Linked DNA regions of Rattus norvegicus. The protein of the gene in region 1 binds, or shares a complex with, the protein of each later gene. Links are inferred from orthologs where the notes say so. Each region holds a gene or a part of one and is shown on either strand. Other genes may lie near its edges.

Evidence for each region.
Region 2: the proteins of Nog (region 1) and Bmp7 are in contact, whole or in part, in a crystal structure (PDB 1M4U), measured with the Homo sapiens proteins. The link is inferred for Rattus norvegicus from reciprocal best matches to the Homo sapiens genes NOG and BMP7. Residues at the interface, in NP_005441.1 of Homo sapiens: His29, Tyr30, Leu31, His32, Ile33, Arg34, Pro35, Ala36; in NP_001710.1 of Homo sapiens: Phe365, Pro366, Leu367, Asn368, Ser369, Asn375, Ile378, Val379.
Region 3: the proteins of Nog (region 1) and Bmp2 are in contact, whole or in part, in a crystal structure (PDB 7AG0), measured with the Homo sapiens proteins. The link is inferred for Rattus norvegicus from reciprocal best matches to the Homo sapiens genes NOG and BMP2. Residues at the interface, in NP_005441.1 of Homo sapiens: Ile33, Arg34, Pro35, Ala36, Pro37, Ser38, Asp39, Asn40, Pro42, Leu43, Val44, Asp45, Leu46, Ile47, His49, His199, Arg204, Arg206, Pro219, Ile220, Gln221, Tyr222, Pro223; in NP_001191.1 of Homo sapiens: Trp310, Asp312, Trp313, Val315, Ala316, Pro317, Pro318, Gly319, Tyr320, Ala368, Ile369, Ser370, Met371, Leu372, Tyr373, Lys379, Val380, Val381, Leu382, Lys383, Asn384, Tyr385, Gln386, Met388.

The regions. Positions count from the first base shown.
Region 1 is NC_086028.1:74,623,874-74,630,443, reverse strand, and holds Nog (noggin precursor), read left to right. Parts: upstream 1-3,191; coding exon 3,192-3,890; 3' UTR 3,891-4,570; downstream 4,571-6,570. Other genes in the region: Nogl1 (proline-rich protein 36-like), read right to left, coding at 1,380-1,398, 2,323-3,281, 3,492-3,611. UniProt on the Homo sapiens protein: Inhibitor of bone morphogenetic proteins (BMP) signaling which is required for growth and patterning of the neural tube and somite. Essential for cartilage morphogenesis and joint formation.
Region 2 is NC_086021.1:182,130,264-182,137,848, forward strand, and holds the start of Bmp7 (bone morphogenetic protein 7 precursor), read right to left. Parts: upstream 4,884-7,585; 5' UTR 4,460-4,883; coding exon 4,045-4,459; intron 1-4,044. UniProt on the Homo sapiens protein: Growth factor of the TGF-beta superfamily that plays important role in various biological processes, including embryogenesis, hematopoiesis, neurogenesis and skeletal morphogenesis.
Region 3 is NC_086021.1:141,262,638-141,270,163, forward strand, and holds the start of Bmp2 (bone morphogenetic protein 2 precursor), read left to right. Parts: upstream 1-2,886; 5' UTR 2,887-3,130; intron 3,131-4,182; 5' UTR 4,183-4,189; coding exon 4,190-4,532; intron 4,533-7,526. UniProt on the Homo sapiens protein: Growth factor of the TGF-beta superfamily that plays essential roles in many developmental processes, including cardiogenesis, neurogenesis, and osteogenesis. Induces cartilage and bone formation.

The DNA.
Region 1 (6,570 bases):
CAAAACTCTCACGCACATACAGTAAAATAATAATAAATGTAAAACCGAGGGTGATTGGACATTTAAAAAACCCACAGGTGATTTGAAGGAGAAAAGAAAAAAGAAAAAAAAAGCACAGTAGGTAAGCACTAGTTGGAACTCAACCCTGTCTGAGGAAGGCAGGACTTGGGTTTACCTTCTCAAGTCTTTACTGAAAGAAATTATTTTCTTAGTTGATTCCCAGCAGTGACAAAATTGCTCTGGAACATTTAATCTTCACGAGACAGCAAACTAATGCCAAACCACTATAAAACATATCAAAAAGTAAAGTCTGTGAGACGGTCTCTCATATTATTTGCAAACTAGACTGTTTTCTTAATTTTTAAAATTAGATTTATTGATTTTATTTTATGTGTGGGGCTTTCGCCTGAGTACAAGTCTGTGCACCACTTGCATGCTCGGTGCCCATGGAGCAGAAAAGGCCATCGGATGTCCTAGAACTGGAGATAGGCATGGGTGTGAGCCACCATGCTGGGAATAGATCCCTGATCTTCTGCAAAACATTCAGTGCCCTTGACCACCGAGTCATCTCTCTCACCCTAAGACCTAGACCAATTTTTAAAAACCAATGATTGTTCATCTCCACTGGTGATCAAAGCAAGACCTTGTTATAGACAGAACCCACGGAGTCTAGTTCTACTTGTCCAGATGTTACAGTTGCGGGAAGCATTCGCACCTGAAACTGGCCACCCCTCTCTACTACTGAGGTACTGAGAAAGGCCATACAACCAAGTGCTTTCCCCTTAGGGGACTAAAAGGAAAACTAGACCTTGGTGTGTTTGAGGCTGTGGCCCTGGGACTGCCTAACTCCCACTCCTGTGTGAATTCCGGAGACATTCACTCCAGGTGTCTCTCCTCCACCGCCTTACGATGGACACCAACCACATCACCATAAAGGACAAGCTTGGTCTTGACCCCAACTCTTCATACAAAGGGAAATTAGGGGGAGGGGTCACTTCAGCTCCCCTTTCTCATCAAAGAGGTTATTCCTTCTTTTCAAGAAGCAGTGTCCCTTTGATGGGTAAAAGATGCTGAATCTGGATTAGTGACCTAACTCAGTTTGTTAGAACTATGATATGGTAGGTCTCAAAAAAGACCTGGAGTTAGGTCACTAATCCAAAAACTAAAATTTTGAGTGCCACACAAGTGACTTACCCAAGGTCTACATAGATGTGGACCAGGGTGGATGGCATCCAGACCTGGGTACCTTACTTCTAGAATACCTTTCCTTTTCTAGTCACCACTCTCTGCCCACTAAGGTCACTTACCCCAGCCGGATGATGCAAACCTGTGTGCTTGTGAAATCCAAGTACCTTGGAGAAAAATCTCAGGATTTTTGTTTACACTAAGTCTGGAAATCTATGAGAAAGCATTCAGAAACATAAAGTACCTGTCAGTACCCACAATTATGGCACAGATGCAGAATTTGAAATTGGGCCAGACAGAGGGGCAGCCTACAAACCCACCTAGCTGAGCACCACAGGACGCAACCCCCTCCCCCCACTGCGCGCGCGCGTGCGCGCACACACACACACACACACACACACACACACACACACACACACACACACACTTCAGCCAGAACCAAATGCAGGGATCACAAAGGGCCAGCAGAGGGCGCGCCGCCCCCAGGGAGGTGAGAGCTAGTTGTAGCAAGCAGCGAGGATTAGGGGAACCGCAGGCTAGGAGGATGTACCTCTATTTCCCCGCCACTCACCCGGTAGGACCAGGCCAAGGAGGAGGGTGAGAAGACCACCTCCCCGCCTCATGGATCTGAGGGGCAGAGAAACAGGAGTGCTACCTAGAAATTACATCACGCTGCGCAACCCTGCGGCGTGTGTGTGTGTGTGTGTGTGTGTGTGTGTGTGTGTGTGTGTGTGTGTGTTGGGGGGAGGGGACTTAGTCCAATCCCGAGAGGAACGATAAAAAGACACGCACACGCACCCGGGAAAATGCTCCATGCACATGGAGAAATTTCTTGCTAGGAACTGCACTGAAAACCGAGCCCCCAGCATCTCCCTGCTGTTCCTCTCCCGGTGCAAAGCACTCAGTTAGTGAGAGTCACCCCCCCCCCGCCCCACCTCGACAACCCCACACCCCTCAACTCCAGCCCTGCACCCTCCAGCCTGGCTCCAGCGCCGCCGCGAGCTTTCCCCGGGACTGGCCCTGGCGGGGCGCCTAGAGCCCCATTGCATTGCTCCAGGAGAAAGGAGGGGGGCGGTGCATTTTGTAGGAGGAGGAGAACCGGGGCGGGGGGGGGGGGAGAGAAAATTGCGCGGAGACCTGCCAAGCGCCACCGCCGCCGCCGCCACCGCCGCTGCCGCGCCGCCGCCGCCTGTGAGCTCCGGCGGGCAGCCTGACTGTCGGCTTCCCGGGGCATCTGGGTCCGGCGGGGCACAGTCCTGGGCGCTGCCGGAGCCGCCGCCGCCGCCGCGGCGACCAGTGCAGTCGCTTAACCCCGAGCCCGTGCGGCTCCGGCTCCTCGCGGGTGGAGGAGTGGGGGGTGGGGTTGTTGTTTGGGGGGAAGAAGGGGGAGGGGGCAACGCGGAGAGAGTCAGTGGTTTCCATGGTGATGGAGCTGAAAGTGCAGGAAATTTAAAGGCTTGGACCCTGCGAGACAGACAAACCGGTGCCAACGTGCGCGGACGCCGCCGCCGCCACCGCCGCTGGAGTCCGCAGGGCAGAGCCGGCTGTGCAGCCCGGAGCAGACGGAGAGAAGTGGCCCAGGACCCGCTCGACCGGAGGCTGGGCACAGAGAAGCAGGACGCCGAGCAGCCAGAGGAGGAGGAGGAGGAAAGAGGCTCGTCCACGCGCCCTGCGCCGCCCGCAGCCGGGGAGAGCAGCGAGGAGCCGGCGCCCCCAGCGCCCCACGGTCGCGCTGGAGTAATCTCGGATGCCCGGCCGCGGCCGCCTTCCCAAGTAGAGCGGCGGGGGGGAGTTGTGACCAACTCGTGCGCGTCTTCTGCGCCGCGGCGGGAGCCGGCGCTGCGCGAACGCTTCTCCTCGCGGCTCATGCTGCCTGCCCTGCGCCAGCCCAGCTTCGGGTGAGCCGCCTCCGGAGGGACCCGGGAGCGCGGCAGCGCCGCGGACTCGGCGTGCTCTCCTCCGGGGACGCGGGACGAAGAGGCAGCCCCGGGACGCGCGCGGGAGGCATGGAGCGCTGCCCCAGCCTGGGGGTCACCCTCTACGCCCTGGTGGTGGTCCTGGGGCTGCGGGCAGCACCAGCCGGCGGCCAGCACTATCTACACATCCGCCCAGCACCCAGCGACAACCTGCCCCTGGTGGACCTCATCGAACATCCAGACCCTATCTTTGACCCTAAGGAGAAGGATCTGAACGAGACGCTGCTGCGCTCGCTGCTCGGGGGCCACTACGACCCGGGTTTTATGGCCACTTCACCCCCAGAGGACCGACCCGGAGGGGGCGGGGGACCGGCTGGAGGTGCCGAGGACCTGGCGGAGCTGGACCAGCTGCTGCGGCAGCGGCCGTCGGGGGCCATGCCGAGCGAGATCAAAGGGCTGGAGTTCTCCGAGGGCTTGGCCCAAGGCAAGAAGCAGCGCCTGAGCAAGAAGCTGAGGAGGAAGTTACAGATGTGGCTGTGGTCACAGACCTTCTGCCCGGTGCTGTACGCGTGGAACGACCTAGGCAGCCGTTTTTGGCCGCGCTACGTGAAGGTGGGCAGCTGCTTCAGCAAGCGCTCCTGCTCTGTGCCTGAGGGCATGGTGTGTAAGCCATCCAAGTCTGTGCACCTCACCGTGCTGCGGTGGCGCTGTCAGCGGCGCGGGGGTCAGCGCTGCGGCTGGATTCCCATCCAGTACCCCATCATTTCCGAGTGTAAGTGTTCCTGCTAGAACTCGGGGCCCCCTGCCCGCGCCTAGACACTTGATGGATCCCCACCAACGCCCCCCACCCCCACCGCCTCCAACCAGTTCCACCACCCTCTAGCGAGGGTTTTCAATGAACTTTTTTTTTCTTCTTGGCTACAGAGACCTGGCTTTCTGGTTCATGTAATGCACTGTTTAACTGTGTAGGAATGTATATGTGTGTATATACGGTCCCAGTTTTAATTTACTTATTAAAAGGTCAGTATTATACGTCAAAAGTTACCCGGCTTCTACTGTATTTAAAAAAAATAAGCAAGCAAAGTGAAAAAAAAAGAGCAGAGAAAAGAGAGACTTATTCTGGTTGTTGGTAATAATGTTAACCTGCTATTTATATCCCAATGCCCTTCGCATGGCGAAGCAGGGGGGAAAAGTTATTTTTTTCTTAAAAGTACAAAGAGAGGGGGAACTTTTGTAGAAGGACTTTTAAAAAAGCTATTTTCCATTCTTCGGAAAATGTTTTGATTTTCCTTAGACCTCGAAGAAGTTATAGAGTTCAATGTTATTTTACAGTTATTGTAAATATAGAGAACAAATGGAATGACTAATCATTGTAAATTAAGAGTATCTGCTATTTATTCTTTATAATATCCCGTGTAGTAAATAAGAAAGAAGTGCAGAACAGGATTAAAGAAAACCACTAAAACCGACTGGGCTCTACACTGTGATTCACTGTGTTGGTGATTGATGGGGGGGGGGGGTTTGTCGCCGCGCTTACTACGCCTATTGGGAGACATGCTCATCCGTTTGGACTCCCCTCCTGTGGGGTGATGAAGGTGACTGTAAAATTTTCAGTGTGTGTGTGTGGCGGGGGTGTTATTCTCAAACCCCATCTTTTAAGTATCATGTGGTTTCTACCGAGTCTCCCAGGGTACCCTCCCCCGTGACACCAAAGCTCAGGCCTGTAGTGACCTCGACACCCAGCCGGCCCCCTGGAGCTGACCCCGGGCTGGGCCGATGAGGGGGGGAGGGAGGGGTAGCTGCTTTGTCCAGGCTGACAGGCCCTTCACAATGGGGACACGTGTCTTTCACACCTTCCCTGGGGGCGGAGTGCCGCTGAAACTTGACCCCCGAGGAATGGGGGGGGGTGTCAGAGCGCGCCCACCCAGATCCCGCCACCCCTCCCTCCTTGTACCCCCACCACAATATCCAGCCCTTGTTAACCCTTTGCATGCCCGGAAAATATGGTGGTTGGGGCTAAAGCGACCCCTTGAATTCTACTACATACAACCTCAGGGAGACTTCTGGTCTGAAGCCCCCACGTCCCAGGCCTACAATTGACTAGGGAGAGATAATTTGGATATTTGACACTCACCTGGGCCTCTTCCAGGACCTAAGAAAGACTGAGGTCCCAAATTTCAGAGGGATGTGAATCTGGGTACAAATCACCAATTCTGGGACCTGCACTGAGCAGAGAAACGCGACCCCCCCCCACACACTTACTCCACTTGGGGGGTGGGGGTGAGAAGAGAGGTGAAATCAGAATGGGATTTTTGCTCTTTAGTATAGAGGCAAAATTACCCCTTAAATGTTCGGGTTAATATTACTGTACCCCACCCTTAAAAAAAATCCATCTTCTTGGGACCCGCTTTAGACTCTCGCGTGCATCCCTCCACCTCAATCCCCAGTGGCGGCCATCCACTCAGCTCCACGTGGGCCGGCTTCCTGACACCGCTCCGGGCTCCTTTTATTTATCTTGGACTCCACAGTCGCCCTCCTTTGCTCCCTTCCCCACCCCCTTGCCACCTCGTCGCGCCTCCCTCCAGGCCTCCTGTCCTCCGCCCCCCCCAGCCCCCCCTCCGGAGTCGCAGCGAATCTATGCTAATTATTTCAAACCTGCACCGAGTCCCCAGCTCAGTCTCAATGCCCCGGGCCCCGCCCTCCCTGTCCCTCCAGCCGGGCGCTTTCTTCCCTCCCGACGCAGCCTCGGTGGCTCCTCATTTCAATAGCCTGGCCCCGGAGCCGGAGCCCCCTCCCCGGCGCTGCCTCCGTCAGCCGTGGGACAGACGTTAGGGTATTCATTAACTGGGAGCCGAGGAATAACGGCATTATTCCCCCCAGAGAGGGCACCCTGCCCCCGCGACTATCTGAGGCTTCATTGTAAAAGGATTAAAAGTTAAAGACCTCCATCTTATGATTCTTTCATTTAATCTTTCTGGCGCCTGGGAGACATGCTCGATGGATGATGGCTTTTAAAATATTCCTAATGTCGGCTACCTTAAGACTCCAAGCCGGGCAAACAAACGTAATTTATTTCCAGAAGAAAGAGGATATTGAGATGTTTAAGTTTATGAACCGCCGTCCACACGTATATTTGTTAAGTTCTGACAAATACCCAAATAACGTTAAAAATCGGCCATTCATCACTTATGAATTTATGCAAAACTTTCTATGCCCCGGGCCAATATTTTTGTAGACAGAGTTTCACTTGCGAGGGGCGGAGGAGGTGGGGAGGAGGGACGAGGAGGGGGCTTGGGTCGGGGTTGGGGGGGGGGAGCCCAAAGCAAGAATTTTCATGCCTGGTAAACACGCGAATTATGCGAAGAGAGTTATTCCCAGCTGGGCGGGCAGCCAAAACTCGGAGAGCGCGCGGAGGCCAGCGCCCCCACCCCCACGTTGGTAATGTCATTGGATTACAATGCGAGGTCTT
Region 2 (7,585 bases), on another chromosome or scaffold:
CATCAATCAACCTCCACGGGACTCTGCCTGGGATGAAGTCATCACTTGTCCCCCGGTTCAGCAGGCCTATGACATGTGCTCACGGGCGTCCGCCCCGCTGTGCTCATCCAGGCAAAAGCTTGCAGGCTGCCACCAGTCGCGGCTTAGGTAGGGCCCCAACCCAGTTCTCTGGAGCTGGGTCTCTGAGGGTCTCACTTTCTTCTCTCCACGCAGGAAAACAATCCACCGGTCTCCTCCGAGCCACCTCCCACCTTTCAAGGGAACCCGAATCCGCCCTGGGATAAAACCCCAAAGCAGCCATCTGAGCTGCCATTCCGGGCCCCAGCCTTAGCCTGCCTTGACTGCAGAAGGGAAATACACACAAAAGATCCAAAACAGTTCAAATCTGGGTCACATAATATCCTTGGGAAAAGGGGAGGGGGGAATCTTTGATTTATAGATCCAGGAAAATGAGGTTTAAAAGTGACTTTGAAAGGGTTCCTGAAAACACAGCTGTGGGTACACCCCTATGGTGAAGTTGATCTAGAGAGAGAGGGAGGGAGGGAGGAGGGAGGGGGAGAGGGAGGGAGAGGGGAGAGAAGGTGAAGGGGAAATACATGTGACATCTCTATTAACCTTCTGCTGCTAACCAAAAGGGTTGGAATGTGAGGGAGCCCCTTCCAAATTCTAAGGCGGGCCAGTTTACAGCTGCAGGCTCCGCAGCCACTCTCTGTGGCGCACTCCCCAAAGGATGCCTTTAAATTGTAACAGGACCTTTCCTTCCCCTTCCCCAGTGGCCTGATCTGTTCGGAGGGTTAAAGGAGAGATCTTAGCGCCAAACACTTGTCTCCAAAAGGGACAGCCAGATGGGGGGTAAAGTGAAAAAACAAACTGCTAGGCCTCACCTCTGCTTACCAGAACAAGTTAACAAAAGCCACTTCTCTGTGCTGGCTACAGTAATGACGGGGTCCGAGCAGGCTCCCTTTTCTAACTTAGCTTCGAAGATTAAACAAATTTCATTCCTTCCCAACCTGGCCCAGGAGATAAACAGCAGTCACATACACCCTCTCCAAGCCGGTTGGCTTTCTAGAAAGATTCTGAACAGGGCTTTTGGCTTCCCGAAGAAAGAATAGCTGGGGTTAATAATAGCTAGGCCAGGTCTCTGCAGGATCAACTTTGCCTGGGGACTGTTTGAGAGAGTGTGGCCTGTTTTGAATTCCAAAATGAAGTCTACCCAGAGGAGTAGGGGGCTTGTTAATCCAAACCAGTTTACAGATCTTGTCATTGAACTTCGGGGCCAGAGCCAGGAGGATGGGTGTCCCACGCTAGCCGGCTTTCCCAGGGACTTTATGGTTCAGGCTGGTCTTTGTCATCTGGGGCAGTCAAGTCCTCACACGCAGCACCTGGTTTTGCTGTAAATTTTCCTCTGGTGTGGATCCCACTAGGCCTGGCAGACTGCTCGAATTCCAGGGAGAACAACTTACAAGAACAAAAACCAGTTTGGCTGCAGACAGGAGGAGAGAGGCAGTGGATCTGCAAAAGCCTTCAGGGTTGAGGCAGGGGGTCCCCCAAGCAGGCAGGCCTGAGGGAGAATGGCGGAGGTGTGTGGGCAGAGGTGTGTGTGGAAGGCAGCCAGGGGGTCCGGTCTCTGGCACCAACACCAAATGCTCTAAGGGTGACAAGGGGTGGTTTGACAGGAACCAGGACCTTTTCTCATTCGGGGAGCAAAGGGTAAGCGTGAACCTGGCATTCTAAAACTTGTCTATTTCTGACCAGACTACGCTTTCTCAGCAGCCTCAGTGTGGGGATGAGTCTCTGGGGGTCGCTACACCCTTCTTCAACCCAGCTGCCATCCCCAGGTCATAGCAGCAGGAGCAGGAGGCCTATGCCTGTGCTGTGGCCCAGCAGAGATTAAAGATGCACCTACAGGAAGCTCTTAGCAGCTACAGTCTGGGGCTTCCCCTAATTACCTCTAGCTTAGCGAGAGAAGGAGAGAGAGAAAACAAGACCCTATCCCTGGGTCCTGTTAAAAGCCACCCTGCTATCTAATTAGGAGTGATGGTCCAGAAAGCCATGCCTGAGAAAGGACAGTCCCACAAAAGCCCACGGCCAGCCCCACTGATTAAGAGGCTCAGACAAGCCAGGCTTTGTCCTGTCAACATGAAAGAAAGAACGGACTGAAAGAAAGGTGTGTGTGCAGCCAGAGGAAGCCACCCAGCTGTGGCCTCCCCAGCAAGCCCCAGCTTGTACCCGAGGGAGGCCGGGGCTTGGGGGTGGGGAGCAACCGCCCCTGCCAGGTTCCCAGCAGGGCCCTGGGAGCTGCCCTGGAAGCCACCTGGCCCTTTGGGATGAGGGAAGCCAGCTGGGGCCACACGGCCAGACCTGAAACACAGAGACTGGCACCAAAGTCTGGGATTATCTGTTGCAGCTCGATGGACCAGCTCTGAACTGTCAGCTAGGACCCACTCACTGGCTTCCTGGAGATCACACCGGAGAACAGAAGAGGCCATAAGCCCTGACCCTCACCCAGGGCCTTGTTATGCCTGCCTTCAGGATAGGTTCGCAGATCCACGTTGACCACATACTGCTAAGTCTCTATTGAGGAGTCGACTTTAGTTTTTGGTAATAAATCCACATTTTTTTTAAAAAAATGGACGCAGTGAAAGGCGGCCTCCCTCTCCCAGCACACCAAGCCCTACCCCCAGGAAAAATCTCTTTGCAATTGGCCTTTCCTACCTTCAGGGTTTGGAGGCTATCCCAAAGCAGGACCTCTTCTTAACAAGTGTCTGAGGAGAATTTGAATTTGCTCTGTAATATTTTGTCAGCTCTATCACAGGCCTTTACACCCTGACCCTTGCTTGATTCATTATTTGACACTTTTTGATCTTAAATGGAAACAGACAATGGTCTCCCAGAAGCTCCAAGGCCTTTATCTGGAGCTGAGAGGATTAACGTGGACCCTTTCTTCCCGGAGATCCCTTCAGAGCCCCAGGTGCCCAGTGAGAGAGAAAAGGGGGGGGGGGTGGCCTTAAGCTTCATTATTTCCAGGTTGACGGGCGCCCATGGTGTGTTTGGTGTCTTGACTTGGGGTTTTCTCAGCAACTTCCACAAGCAGAAGAAAAGTGACTCAGGAAACAGCACTATCAGGGTGTGTTATCACCAAAGCCAAATATTTGATGGCCAGCCCCACAGCGCACGGTTGGGGGTTAGTTTGAGCAAGTTAGATACTTGTGCGCGCACAGATGCAGGGGGAGCTGTCTCAGACCAGCCGTAACCCAGCCTCGCATCCCTTGGTTGGCTGGAACTACAGTATGGAAACGGTTTCCCCAGCCATTCCATGGCGGCCTCTGTTCCGAGGTCCCCAGCCACCCAATCGCCAAAACCCGTGGTTTGCGCGCCACACGTGATAAACGCTGAAAATGGATTCTGCCCGCCCGGGACCTATCATTAAATATTTAAAATAGAAAACTCGCAATGGCAACGTTCTTTCCCCGGCTCCAGCCGAGAGTCCAAAGGTGGGCGACTGGCGGCTAGGAGAGGAGCCCCGCGACACTCCGAGCGCGCGCCGAGAAGGCGCACCGCAAAGGGACAGGTAGGGCTGGCCAGAGAGGGCAAGGAAAGGGGATGTGCGAGATGCCAGAGCCAAGCTGGGCTCAAAGGGGCGGAGGAAAGGCGGGAAGGCAGCTTTACTCTCAAGGGCCCTTTAAATCCAGGTAGCGCGGGCCGCTGAAGCCGGTTCAGCTCACATGACCCAGCCGGGCGCTTTGAACTAAGCCGCTGCCGGGCCGGGACCTCCCGCCCCTGAGTGAGATGAACGCGCGGCGGAGCAGGCAAAGAGACTCAGGGCAGGTCCTTCCCTCTCGGTACCCCCCACAAACCCTCCGAGCCGGCAAGACTCAAAGACTCACAGAGCTTAAAGTTTACCAAGACCCGGGGGCAAGAGTCTCTGGCCGGCACTGATGCTTTGCAAATGGGAAGGTGGACCACAGTGGTTGAAAGCAGGCACCCTCTCCCTGTCCCAAAGTAGCCCTGGTCTGAGATATATCACCTCCTACCGCCACTCACCTAGGTTGACGAAGCTCATGACCATGTCGGCGTCGGTGAGGAAGTGGCTGTCCTGCAGGCTGGCCAAAGGGGGACCCTGGGTACTGAAGACGGCCTTGTAGGGGTAGGAGAAGCCCTGTCCGTCCGGCCCACTCTCCTCCACCGCCATGGCGTTGTACAGGTCCAACATGAACATGGGCGCCGAATTATGTTTTCCCTGGAGGTGCGGGCGCGGACGATGGGGCAAGCCCAAGATGGACAGGATTTCCCGCTGCATCTCCCGCCGCTCCTGACTGCGGAGGCGCCGGTGGATGAAACTGGAGTGCACCTCGTTGTCCAGGCTGAAGTCGGCCAAGGCAGAGCGCAGCAAGAACAGAGGCGCCCAGAGCGCCACGAAGCTGTGTGGCGCCGCAGCGCGCAGCGAGCGCACGTGCATCGCGCCGGCTCTACGCGCGATCCGGGGCACCGGGCCCGCGCCGCCCCAGGTGGCAGCGGAGGGGGCAGGGCAGCGGTCCACGACCCGAGGTCACTTGCTGCAGACGAGCTTCACCGTGGCCTCGCCACTCATGGCCACTCCCTGGCCCGCTGCGCTCTGCCCGAGACGCCCCAGTCCTCTACTCAGTTCTGGCCCGGGGCCCCTCGGCCCGCACTCGCCAGGACGCACCGCAAGGCTAGCACAGCAACTCCAGAGAGAGAGCAAGAGAGCGAGGAGGCGGGCCGGGGTGGGAGGAGCAGCAGTTTGCAGACCTTCAAGTCCGGAGAGCGAGTGCCGGGGAGGCAGCAGGGCGCTGGGCGAACCCTCGCTCCCTCCTCCCACTCTGCTCGCGCTCGGGCCCGCGGGCACCAGCGGGAAAAAAAAACCCTTCCGATCTCCCGCGCCCCAAACAAGGACCCCAGGTCGCTTCTCCAGTCCTGCGCGCCCCAGATCGCCCGCCAGCCGCCTCGGGAGCCCCGGAATGGGGCGCGCTGGGGCCGAGGAGTGGGGGGAGGAGCAGGAGGACCGACTTCCCCGCCCCTCCCGCTCCCGCGGCCTCCCACCTGCGCCTGTCCCCGCCCTCCCCAAGCCTGGCCCAATGGCTTCATTCATTCCTCCCAGGGCGCTCTACAAATATTTACCGAGTGCCCACCGGGTGTCCGGCACTGGGACGGACGCCTCAGGGGCGCAGAGAGAGGAATCCGAGGCTGCAGCCCTCTAGAGACTCGCACTTGGAAGTGGCCAAAGTGTAGCAACTATAGGCTGTGCTAGGAAAGCATCCCGGAGGGAGCGCAGGAATCCGAGAAGGCTCCTCGGAGGTGGCCACTCTTGGACAAGGCTCATCTTTCGAACCTCCCGAACACTTCATTTGCTCCAGTCAAGCAGAAACACCCGCCCACCCCCGCCCGTACTCCCACCGCCTGCCAGCTTCGGCTGCCCTGGCTTTTGCTCCTCAGGGAAAGTTCTCTCCCTGCCCCTCCCCCTCGGGTGCCACTTCCTCTGGTAACCTTCCAGGACCGAAGATAAAGTGGAGATAAAGTTGTTTCCTCCTACAGACGTTACTTTTATTTTCTGCACTTCACTCCCCAACACACACAAACACACACACACACACACACACACACACACACACACACACACACACACACTGTCATCGTCGTCCTCCTCCTCCTCCACCTACCCCTACTCCTCTTCCCTCATCCTCCTCCCTCCTCCTCCTCAGGTTCAGCACCCAAGGGATCCGGTACAGGTACTTCGAGGCTTTTTTTTCCCCTAGTATTTTTGAACTGCGGATCCCCAGATGTTGCAGCTCTGCAGAGTTCATAAGTGAAATCTGGGACTAGAGAGTGCTCCCACCCCCTCCTCTTGGGGGGGTCCACCCACCCCTTATCCTGGCACAAGGGGCCAAAGCCTTACTGTCTAACAACCCTACCCCCAGCCCCAGGTAGGGCCTGAGGAGTAGGGAGTTGGGCATTGTACCCAAGTTCAGGACAACCCCCCCCCCACACACCCACACTGAATTTTCCTGTCGCAAAGGACTAGCCTCCCTCTCTTCACAGAAAGAAAGGACCCAGACAGATGCTGGAGCTCTCAGTGGATAGCTGCTCTTTAGAGCCTCGGTTTCCATTTCTGAAAAATGGGAGCAAAACAGCATTCACTCAGAATGGCAGTGAGCTGTGGGGTGGTAAGCCAGGCCTCCCTGCTCTGCTGAAGGCGGGCTCCAAGAATATCCATGGGAGTCTGAATTAAAGAGTGGCAAGAGGGGCTTGGGAAGGACCTTGAGTAGAGGGCTCCATCTTGAAGTCCTAGGGTGAAATGGGACAGCCTGGTCTTCCGGGCTTCTGGAAACAGAGATAGCTACCCTAGGGCTCTCTGGGCTCCTTGGGAGGATTTTAGACCATGTGGCTGCCTGAGGGGCCGCAGGGATGGCCCCAAAAGAGACCTGCAGGTCATAGTCCAGGCTGTGGACACCAACAGTACTGTGTCCCCTGCCAGCACAGCTCTGAGAGGCCCCTCCCTGGACCTGCTGTGGCTTGTGAGCTGAGGCCACTCAGGCTGTGAGCTGGAGACATGACCTCCAGTGACCAAGTTACAGTTCTTAATATTGAATAAACAAAGGGGCCCTGCCCTTACTTCGGAAGGCTGTGTGTGGCCTTCTGTGGCCAGCAGGAGTGCCACACATAGGCCAGGCAGGAGGACATCAGAGTGATCAAGCCAGTGTGGCGACCTCCATGACTAGCTGGTTCTCAGGCCCCCGGAAACATCAAGGAGGTCTGGGACAGAAGCATGGCAGTCTTTCCCGTTTCTTCTCTCTGAGAAGCATCAGAGCTCAGGTGGAGGAGGCAGCCAAGAAGGCAGAGATCGGACGCCTTGCTGGGCTTGGGTAGGGGAGGGACATGTGACCCATGGGCGGCCATGACAGGAGAACCACTGTAGTCTCTGTCCGTAAAACAGCACCCTGGGTCACTGCAGTCCCCAGAGAGACTGGGCTTCACAGATGAAATGACAAGCGGGACAGACAGCTTCAGAAGGAAGGACTTTCCTGAAAAGGTTATCAAGAAGAGCCCAGCCAGCAGGTTCCCCCAAAGCAGAATCAAGAGCTACACCAGCCCTGCCCAAGGTCTCTGCCAAAGAAGTCTCTACAGGTTATCTCTTCTAAAGTCTAGACTGACATCAGGTTAAGGTGTGCGGCTCACAGAAGCCTCCTAGTTCAAATCCACCCTCCATCTTTTGGAGCATCTCCCTAGCAAGCAAGGTGGGGGTATCCTGAAGGGAGGTGCAGGTCTGTGTGCTGCTACTTTGCACATGGAAAATACTCATTTGTCACGGGTTCTTCTTGGGTCCTCTACCAAAGACCCATCTCCTAGTGTGTTTCCTACTGGGCTCTCCCCTCCCCTTCTTCCCAACACACACACACACACACAGAGAGAGAGAGAGAGAGAGAGAGAGAGAGAGAGAGAGAGAGAGAGAGAGAGCAGATATCCCCTCACCAAGTACCTATTGGGCGAATGGCAATCAGGCAAACCAAACCTAAAAGGCCAATGTCTGAGGGGCGGACCATGAAAGGCCAACCTCTTCCTTCCCAGG
Region 3 (7,526 bases), on another chromosome or scaffold:
GTATTCCAAAGAACAGAGAATTCTTTCAAACTGGATCCACTTCTGGGTCCCATGCGTTTACGCTCATTTCCACCACAAGAGGGCAGCCATCTCTAAAAAACAACAGTTGTGCTCTTCAGAGAAATTGGGCCAAACTTCAGGAAAGTTCCTGGGAAAGGCTTTTAACTGCCTGCACCTCCCCTCTCCCGTTGCATGTCCTACAAAAAAGAAGCCGCCAGGCACCACCAAGGTGGAGTAACTGTCCGGAGGCATCCATTTTATCTCAGAGTCTTGATTACTAAGGATATCATAAATGGCCAAACTCCCGCTTCTGGAGTTCCAAAGGCCCAAAGCTACACGGCATTGTTGATGTCATCCCCAAAGGTTTCATTTTCATCTTTTCTTGGGGTGGGTCCAACAGCTGTCAACTTTCTCTTCCTCATTAAAGGCAACTTTCTGATTTAAATCTCATATATGTTTGGAGGTTTTGCTTTGCTCCACAAGTCTTCCCGATGACAGAAGCAATTGTTAACTTCTCAATTAAACTTGATAGGGAAGGAAATGGCTTCAGAAGCGATCAGCACTTTTGGCTTACATGTCTGAGTGGAGTGTTTTATTGCCTTCTTGTTTGGTCTCTCACGATTTAGAGTGACAATTTCTACAACACATCTTAAGAAGGAATACAGTAACTGATTGCAGATTGCTGAATCTATTCCTTCTCCTTTAATTTTCCTAGTAGGCAGCCTTCCTTCAAAGTACCTTATTTGCCCTTTACAGCTCTAGAAACAGCCAGGGCCTAATTTCCCTCTGTGGGTTGCTAATCTGATTTAGGTGAGCAGAACCTAGAGTTATTTTAGCTTCCCAACTGAAAAGCTAATACACACGGATAATAGATTATTAAAGCCCCTCCTTCTGGTTTTTCTCTGTCTTTGCTTTGCAAACTTGAAAGATCTGATTCAGAACCTGGTATTACCAATCTGGTCTTCCACAGAAATGTTCTGCCCATAGCTTTGGGGGTCATGTGGGCAACAAGGTGGTAGTATGTATGAAGGCTCCTGAAATGAGGGAGAAGTGGAAAGAGTTCAAAACGAATCCTGGATCAGCAGCTTTGGGGACATTCCAGCTGAGGAAGAAAAGTGGCTTAGCCACAGTCAGAGTCTTGCTTCTGGAGACCTAGTGGAGAGGGCCAGACAGAAAATTCAAAAGTCTCAAACCAGAAATGTCTTGTTACCTGCCTCTGGTGTAGGTGGGTGGGGGAGGGGAGATAAATAGCCCAAGTATGGAAGTGATTGTTTCTATAAAGAGAACTTCTATTAACTCCCATTGTCCCCTCACATGGACAGACAGACAGACACACACACACACACACACACACACAAACACTAGAGGGGACATCCACTTTACATGTGTATATCTATGTACAGAACCTGTACCCTCATTTTTATAATTTACATAAATGAATACATATATGTATATACATCTTTTATTAGATTCATTTATTTGACTATATATGCACATGGGCGCATATAAATGTATGAATATTTATAAAATGTAATAATACACTCGAATGTGTATTGGCTATTTCTTGACATTTTCTTCTCACCATTCAAAACAGAGAAGCGTTTGCTCACATCTTTGCCAACATGTCTGATAACTTCTAGGTTCTTCTTTTTAATGTGATCTTACCTAAAAACTTCAAACTCAAGTTGAATATTGGCCCAGTGGGGGAACTCAGAGGCAAGCCTACCCTGAATTTGCCCTAAACTCGGGCATCTGGGGCACGAATCCTGGTCCCGGGGGTCTGCTTTACACTCAGCCGGGACGCGACCCCTTAGCGGCCGCGCGCTCGCCCCGCCCCGCCCCGCCGCGGCCGCCCCTCAGGGCGCGCCGTCCACACCCCTGCGCGCTGCTCCCGCCCGCCCGGGGATCCCCAGCGCGCTGCGCCTCCGAGGGGGAGGTGTTCGGCCACGGCCGGGAGGGAGCCGGCAGGCGGCGTCTCCTTTAAAAGCCGCGAGCGCCGCGCCACGGCGCCTCCGTCGTCGCCGCCGGAGTCCTCGCCCTGCCGCGCAGAGCCCGGCTCGCACTGCGCCCGCCGCTGCGCTTCCCACAGCCCGCCCGGGATTGGCAGCTCGGGACGAAGCCTCCCTAGCCCACACCGGCCATCGGACGCCCTCAGGGCGAGCGACGCGAGGGTCACCCGGGGCTTCGAGGGGCCGGCACGACACCGGTTGGAGCTGCGAACTGTGCGCGCCCGGCTCTGTGGCCTCAGCTGTCCGGGAGAAGCCAGAGTCGCGGACCGACGCTAAGAGCCGGGAGTCCGGAGCACAGTCTTACCCTCAACGCTGGGCTACTCCGACACGAGAGTGAGCGCCCGAGGCGAGCAGGAAGAGTGATCGGACCCCAGGCTGCCACAAAAGACACTTGGCCCGAGGGCTCGGAGCGTGAGGTCACCCGGTTTGGCAGCCGGGGACGCGCGGCTGGACTGTCTCGAGAATGAGCCCCAGGACGCCGGGACGCCGCAGCCGTGCGGGTTCCGCTGGCGAGCGCTGATGGGGGTGCGCCAGAGTCAGGCTGAGGGATGCGGAGTGGCGGCCCGCCCGCCACCCAGATCTTCGCTGCGCCCTTGCCGGGACCCGGCGTCGCCCACGATGGCTGCCCCGAGCCATGGGTCGCGGCCCAGCTAACGCAGAACGTCCGACCCTCGCCCGGCGAGTCCCGGAGCCGGCCCCGCGCCCCGCCAGCGCTGGTCCCTGAGGAAGACGACAGCAGCAGCCTTGCCTCAGCCTTCCCTCCCCGTCCCTGCCCCGCACTCCTCCCCCTGCTTGAGGCTGTGTGTCAGCACTTGGCTGGAGACTTCTTGAACTTGTCGGGAGAGTGACTTGGGCTCCCCACTTCGCGCCGGTGTCCTCGCCCGGCGGATCCAGTCTTGCCGCCGCCTCCAGCCCGGTCACCTCTCTGTTCCTTGGCCGGCTGGGCCCACCCCAAGACACGGTTCCCTTCGGGGAGAACACCCGGAGAAGGAGGAGGTGAAGAAAGGCAACAGAAGCCCAGTCGCTGCTCCAGGTCCCTCGGACAGAGCTTTTTCCATGTGGAGACTCTCTCAATGGACGTGCCCCCTAGTGCTTCTTAGACGGACTGCGGTCTCCTAAAGGTAGAGGACACGGGCCCGGACCCAGGGCTGGCGGGTGACACCGCTTCCCGCCCGGCGGCGCTGGGCGCCTCGGAGGACCGGTGGAGTGGACGTAAACATACCCTCTCCCGGTGCACGTGCAGCGAGCGGATCCCTAGAGGGGTCAGGCACTCTGAACCCCAGATCCCTCTGTCTTGCCCACCTGGTCTGCGACCTCCTTTCAGCCCGTTCCTCCTCCCCAGTTTTAAATACATTATCAGGGCTGTTTTGGGCTTTACCCCCTCCTCCGCCCCCAAATTGCAGAAATCCATTTAGAGAGTATGGCCGGTGGATTTCACTAGTTCATTGCCCACCAGCACTCCAAGCCTTAGAGATCCTTCGCTATCCTTAAGAACTAGGTCCCATTTAGGAAGCTACTAAAAGTCGGGGTTCTTTTTGTGTGTGTTTACTGACTGTGCGGATGTGTCACAGCTTACACGTGCATTTATAGACACTATCTATTTAGGTCATTGCAGAAAGGTGCATGGATTTCTTGACTGCACAGGGGTCTGGAGAAGGGGACAGAGTGGCCTGTGGGTCAACCTTGAAGTTAGGGGCGTAGGCCACGACTTGCAAGTGGCGTCATTAGTATTAATCTTTAGTTTACCGCTTTCTGAATCTACAATCTACCAGGAAGTTCTATACGGCGCCTCTAAGGAAGTCACTTGTGCATTTGTGTCTGTTTATGTGCAAATGAACGCTGTGCAGTATAGTTGTAAGGGATGCAGTGTCCGAACAATCTATGGGTTCCCAGCTTCCTGACACAGGCTTTACTAGCTAGTGTCACAAGAAAAGGTGACAGACAGTCATTGATTTTTCTTTTTTAAATTGGGAGTTAAGACCAAGCCCCAAGTGAGAAGTCCGGCTGGGACTTAGGGGTTCTTCATCCTCTTGATCATCCAGGCTGTAGCTTGGATGACATGCCAGGAGGGCATCCTGGAGAAGGCCAGCGAGCCCTGTGGGAGCCGGGGCCGCGGGGGCGGGCGGAGGACTGGGCGGGGAACGTGGGTGACTCACGTCGGCCCTGTCCGCAGGTCGACCATGGTGGCCGGGACCCGCTGTCTTCTAGTGTTGCTGCTTCCCCAGGTCCTCCTGGGCGGCGCGGCCGGCCTCATTCCGGAGCTGGGCCGCAAGAAGTTCGCCGGGGCATCCGGCCGCCCCTTGTCCCGGCCTTCGGACGACGTCCTCAGCGAGTTTGAGTTGAGGCTGCTCAGCATGTTTGGCCTGAAGCAGAGACCCACCCCCAGCAAGGACGTCGTGGTGCCCCCCTATATGCTCGACCTGTACCGCCGGCACTCGGGCCAGCCAGGAGCGCCCGCCCCAGACCACCGGCTGGAGAGGGCAGCCAGCCGCGCCAACACCGTGCGCAGCTTCCATCACGAAGGTGAGCGGGCGGCGGGTGGCGGGGCGGGGACAGCGGGCGGAGACTCAGTGGGCAGCCCGGGCCTCCGCTAGCACAGTGGACGGTCCTTCGGCTTCTGTACCGTCCCCTCTGTGGCCCCGAGCCAGGGATTCCCCACTGGTGAGTCCGCACCCTTTTCCTGGCAGGTGGCCAGCAGACAGACTCCTCCCCACTAGAACTGGAGGGAAATCGAGTGATGGGGAAGAGGGTGAGAGACTGGCTAGCCCCTTGTCAGCTCATTGTGGGAGAATTTCACAGAAGGCAGGGAGTTGGGGCTCCTTAAATCTGTGTGGAAGCTCAGATCTGTGGCTTGTGTTCAGGCTGGAGTTTTAAGCTAGGCAGAGGTAGTATTAACAAATCAAATCCAGGGCCCCAAAGCATTCAAATTTGCTGTTCATCTGGGCCTCGTTTGAAAGATTTTTGAATCCCTATCTAATCCCCGTGGGAGATCAATTCCACAATCCATCATACTGTTTCCCCAATGACCTTCCTTTCTCCTGCTTAACTCTTAAGTCTCCAAGTGGAGACAGGTCAAGCCTTCAGATAAAAGCATTTTCTCCCACTGCCTGCTACCTTCCTAGACAAGGTAATGGAATTTTTAAAAAAATACGATATGAGTATGGTTTCCCAAGGTAGAGTAATGTTTATTTCTTCGGAAGGAGATTTAGTGGGTAAGACATGCTGTAGAGGCCTATTGAAGTCTCTTGTGCCAATGTCCTTATAGCAGTTAGTAAAAATAATAATAATAATAATAATAATAATAATAATAATAATAATAATAATCGTGCCTCAGTTCAATTCCGTGTGTGTCACTTTAAATGTGCTTTTGGTTTAATGCAATCTCAATAGGATATCAGTTCCTTCAAGTTCTAGAAGAATTCAGAGTTGTCTGTCAGTGAGCTGCAATTTATAGAACAATGGGGAGCTAGGAGAGAAGTTCCCTTTTTAAAGCTTCGCTTTGCCTTTCTTGAGAGGATACATTTTAAGTAGAAATCTATGCTCTGAAATGGCAGCCCAACCCCCATCCCCAATAAGGGATGACTCAAACTTTGAGAAGTCTGGTTGATAATAGGAAAAAGAGCCACCGGCAGGTCACATAGCAAGGGGTGTATCTTCCTTGAGGCAGCCAATGGTTATGAAGGGCACTAGAAACTGGTGTCTAAGGTTTTCTGGGGACAACGTTCAGTATTGAAAGATAGTGAGACCTTATTCTGCTCCTTAGGGTCTGCTTGCTGAGAGAGGGAGATTCCAGAATGTACACCCCCAGCCCCCGTCCCCAGGGCTAAGCTAATCTTTCTGGGTTAATATTTATTGGAAAATGTTTTGTAGATCAAAACAAACAAACAAAACCACTAGCCAGCACAGCTGTTTTTCCCACTGCCTTTGGAGATAGAGCAGGAAAACAATTTATTCGTGTATTTGTTTATTTATTAGTATTTTCTAATGTGAAAAAAATTATTCTTTACCTGTAAAAAAAAATGAACGAGTTATTTTATCTTTATCTTAACTAAGCTAAAAGCATCATTTAAGTCAACTAAAACTCAAAAATCCAATTGAATGTAAGGTTTGTCAATAAAATCTACATATTCTCAGTCTTCATTTGGAAGTGGCTTGATAAAAACACAGGCAAAACGCTATCTAGGTGTCTTATTTTAAAACTTAGTGAGCTTCCGTTCACAAGAAAAATTGTATTTTTAAAAGTGGTTTTTCTGGTGTAAAACTGTATAGAAGTTATCGACCTGCTTAAAATAAACTTGCACTGACTTTATATCTTGGTGCAATCAGATGTGATTTTTACCATAAATCTCAGAAACCATTTCTTTTCAGTCATCATCAGGTATACACGGCATATGGGAAGACTGTTCACATTGTTAAGTAGCCTAGAGTTTAGTTTTTCTAAGCATCCTTGTGCCACTGAAAAACCTTAATAAGCCATGTGTTACTTGGTAGGCTTCTTCGTAAATGCTAGAATGGCATGAGACAAGACATACCATGGTAGTCTTTCAGTAGATTCTTCCAGACAAAATCTCCTGTTGAACATTAAGAGCATTTTACCATAGATTTTATCCAGGAGAGTCCAGACTTTGCTGAATTCCCACCCCAAGGTCACTGAAGACCTTCCCGAACTGGCTGCCATTGGAAAACAGTTGGAAATTGCTTGACTCCATTGGCCCCATAGAGACTTCCCCTTTAGTGGCAGATCATATACAGAAGGATCTCATGCTGGTTCTTCTGACTATGGAGAACATAGTCTTTCTTTTTTCTTTTTGTAACTAACAAACGATGTGGCCCTGTGACTAAAGTTTTCAAAGAGGGAGAGAAAATAGCCGCAGGCTAGGACATTTCAAGGCACAACTCTGTCTTGTGATGAAGAAAGCATGGTCCATCCACCATGCCAGCATGGGTTTGAATGCAGACACCCAGGAAGGCTCCCATCTACTTCTGGCTGTGTTAGTGTGCTCACAAAGACCCTGTGGGGAAAACAGTTCCTCAGTGTGCAGTGTTCCTTGCCACTGATGTTCTCAGTGTCTCTTGTTTGTCAGCGGATGCTTTGAATACCTCTTGACTCCTCTCCAAGCTGCTTTTGTCCTCTTTACATGTACCTTGGGACATTTCTCTTGGTCGTTAGAGAATCCCTCCTGGACCTACAAGGTCCCCTTATAGGGCCTGTGATGAGGAGAACAGAGACCTAGTCAGGTTGCTGGTGACTACTAGACCCTGTTTCCCTTTCCCACCACTTCCTTTGTTGACTTAAAAATTAAACCTTAATTCTGTGTGTTTTAAGCCTTTTCTTCCTTCCTCTTTGGCATGCCATTTATCTTATTCCGGAAAAAATCACAGTCTGTCCCAAAGCTCCTTGAATCTTGTTGCAGCGGTGAGATGCAGCTGCTGGTCTGGAATAGCCTTAGGCCTGTTGTTGTTTTGATGGAGGAATGTTTTCTGTCCAAAAAGTGTTGCAAAATCCCCCAAGCTTAA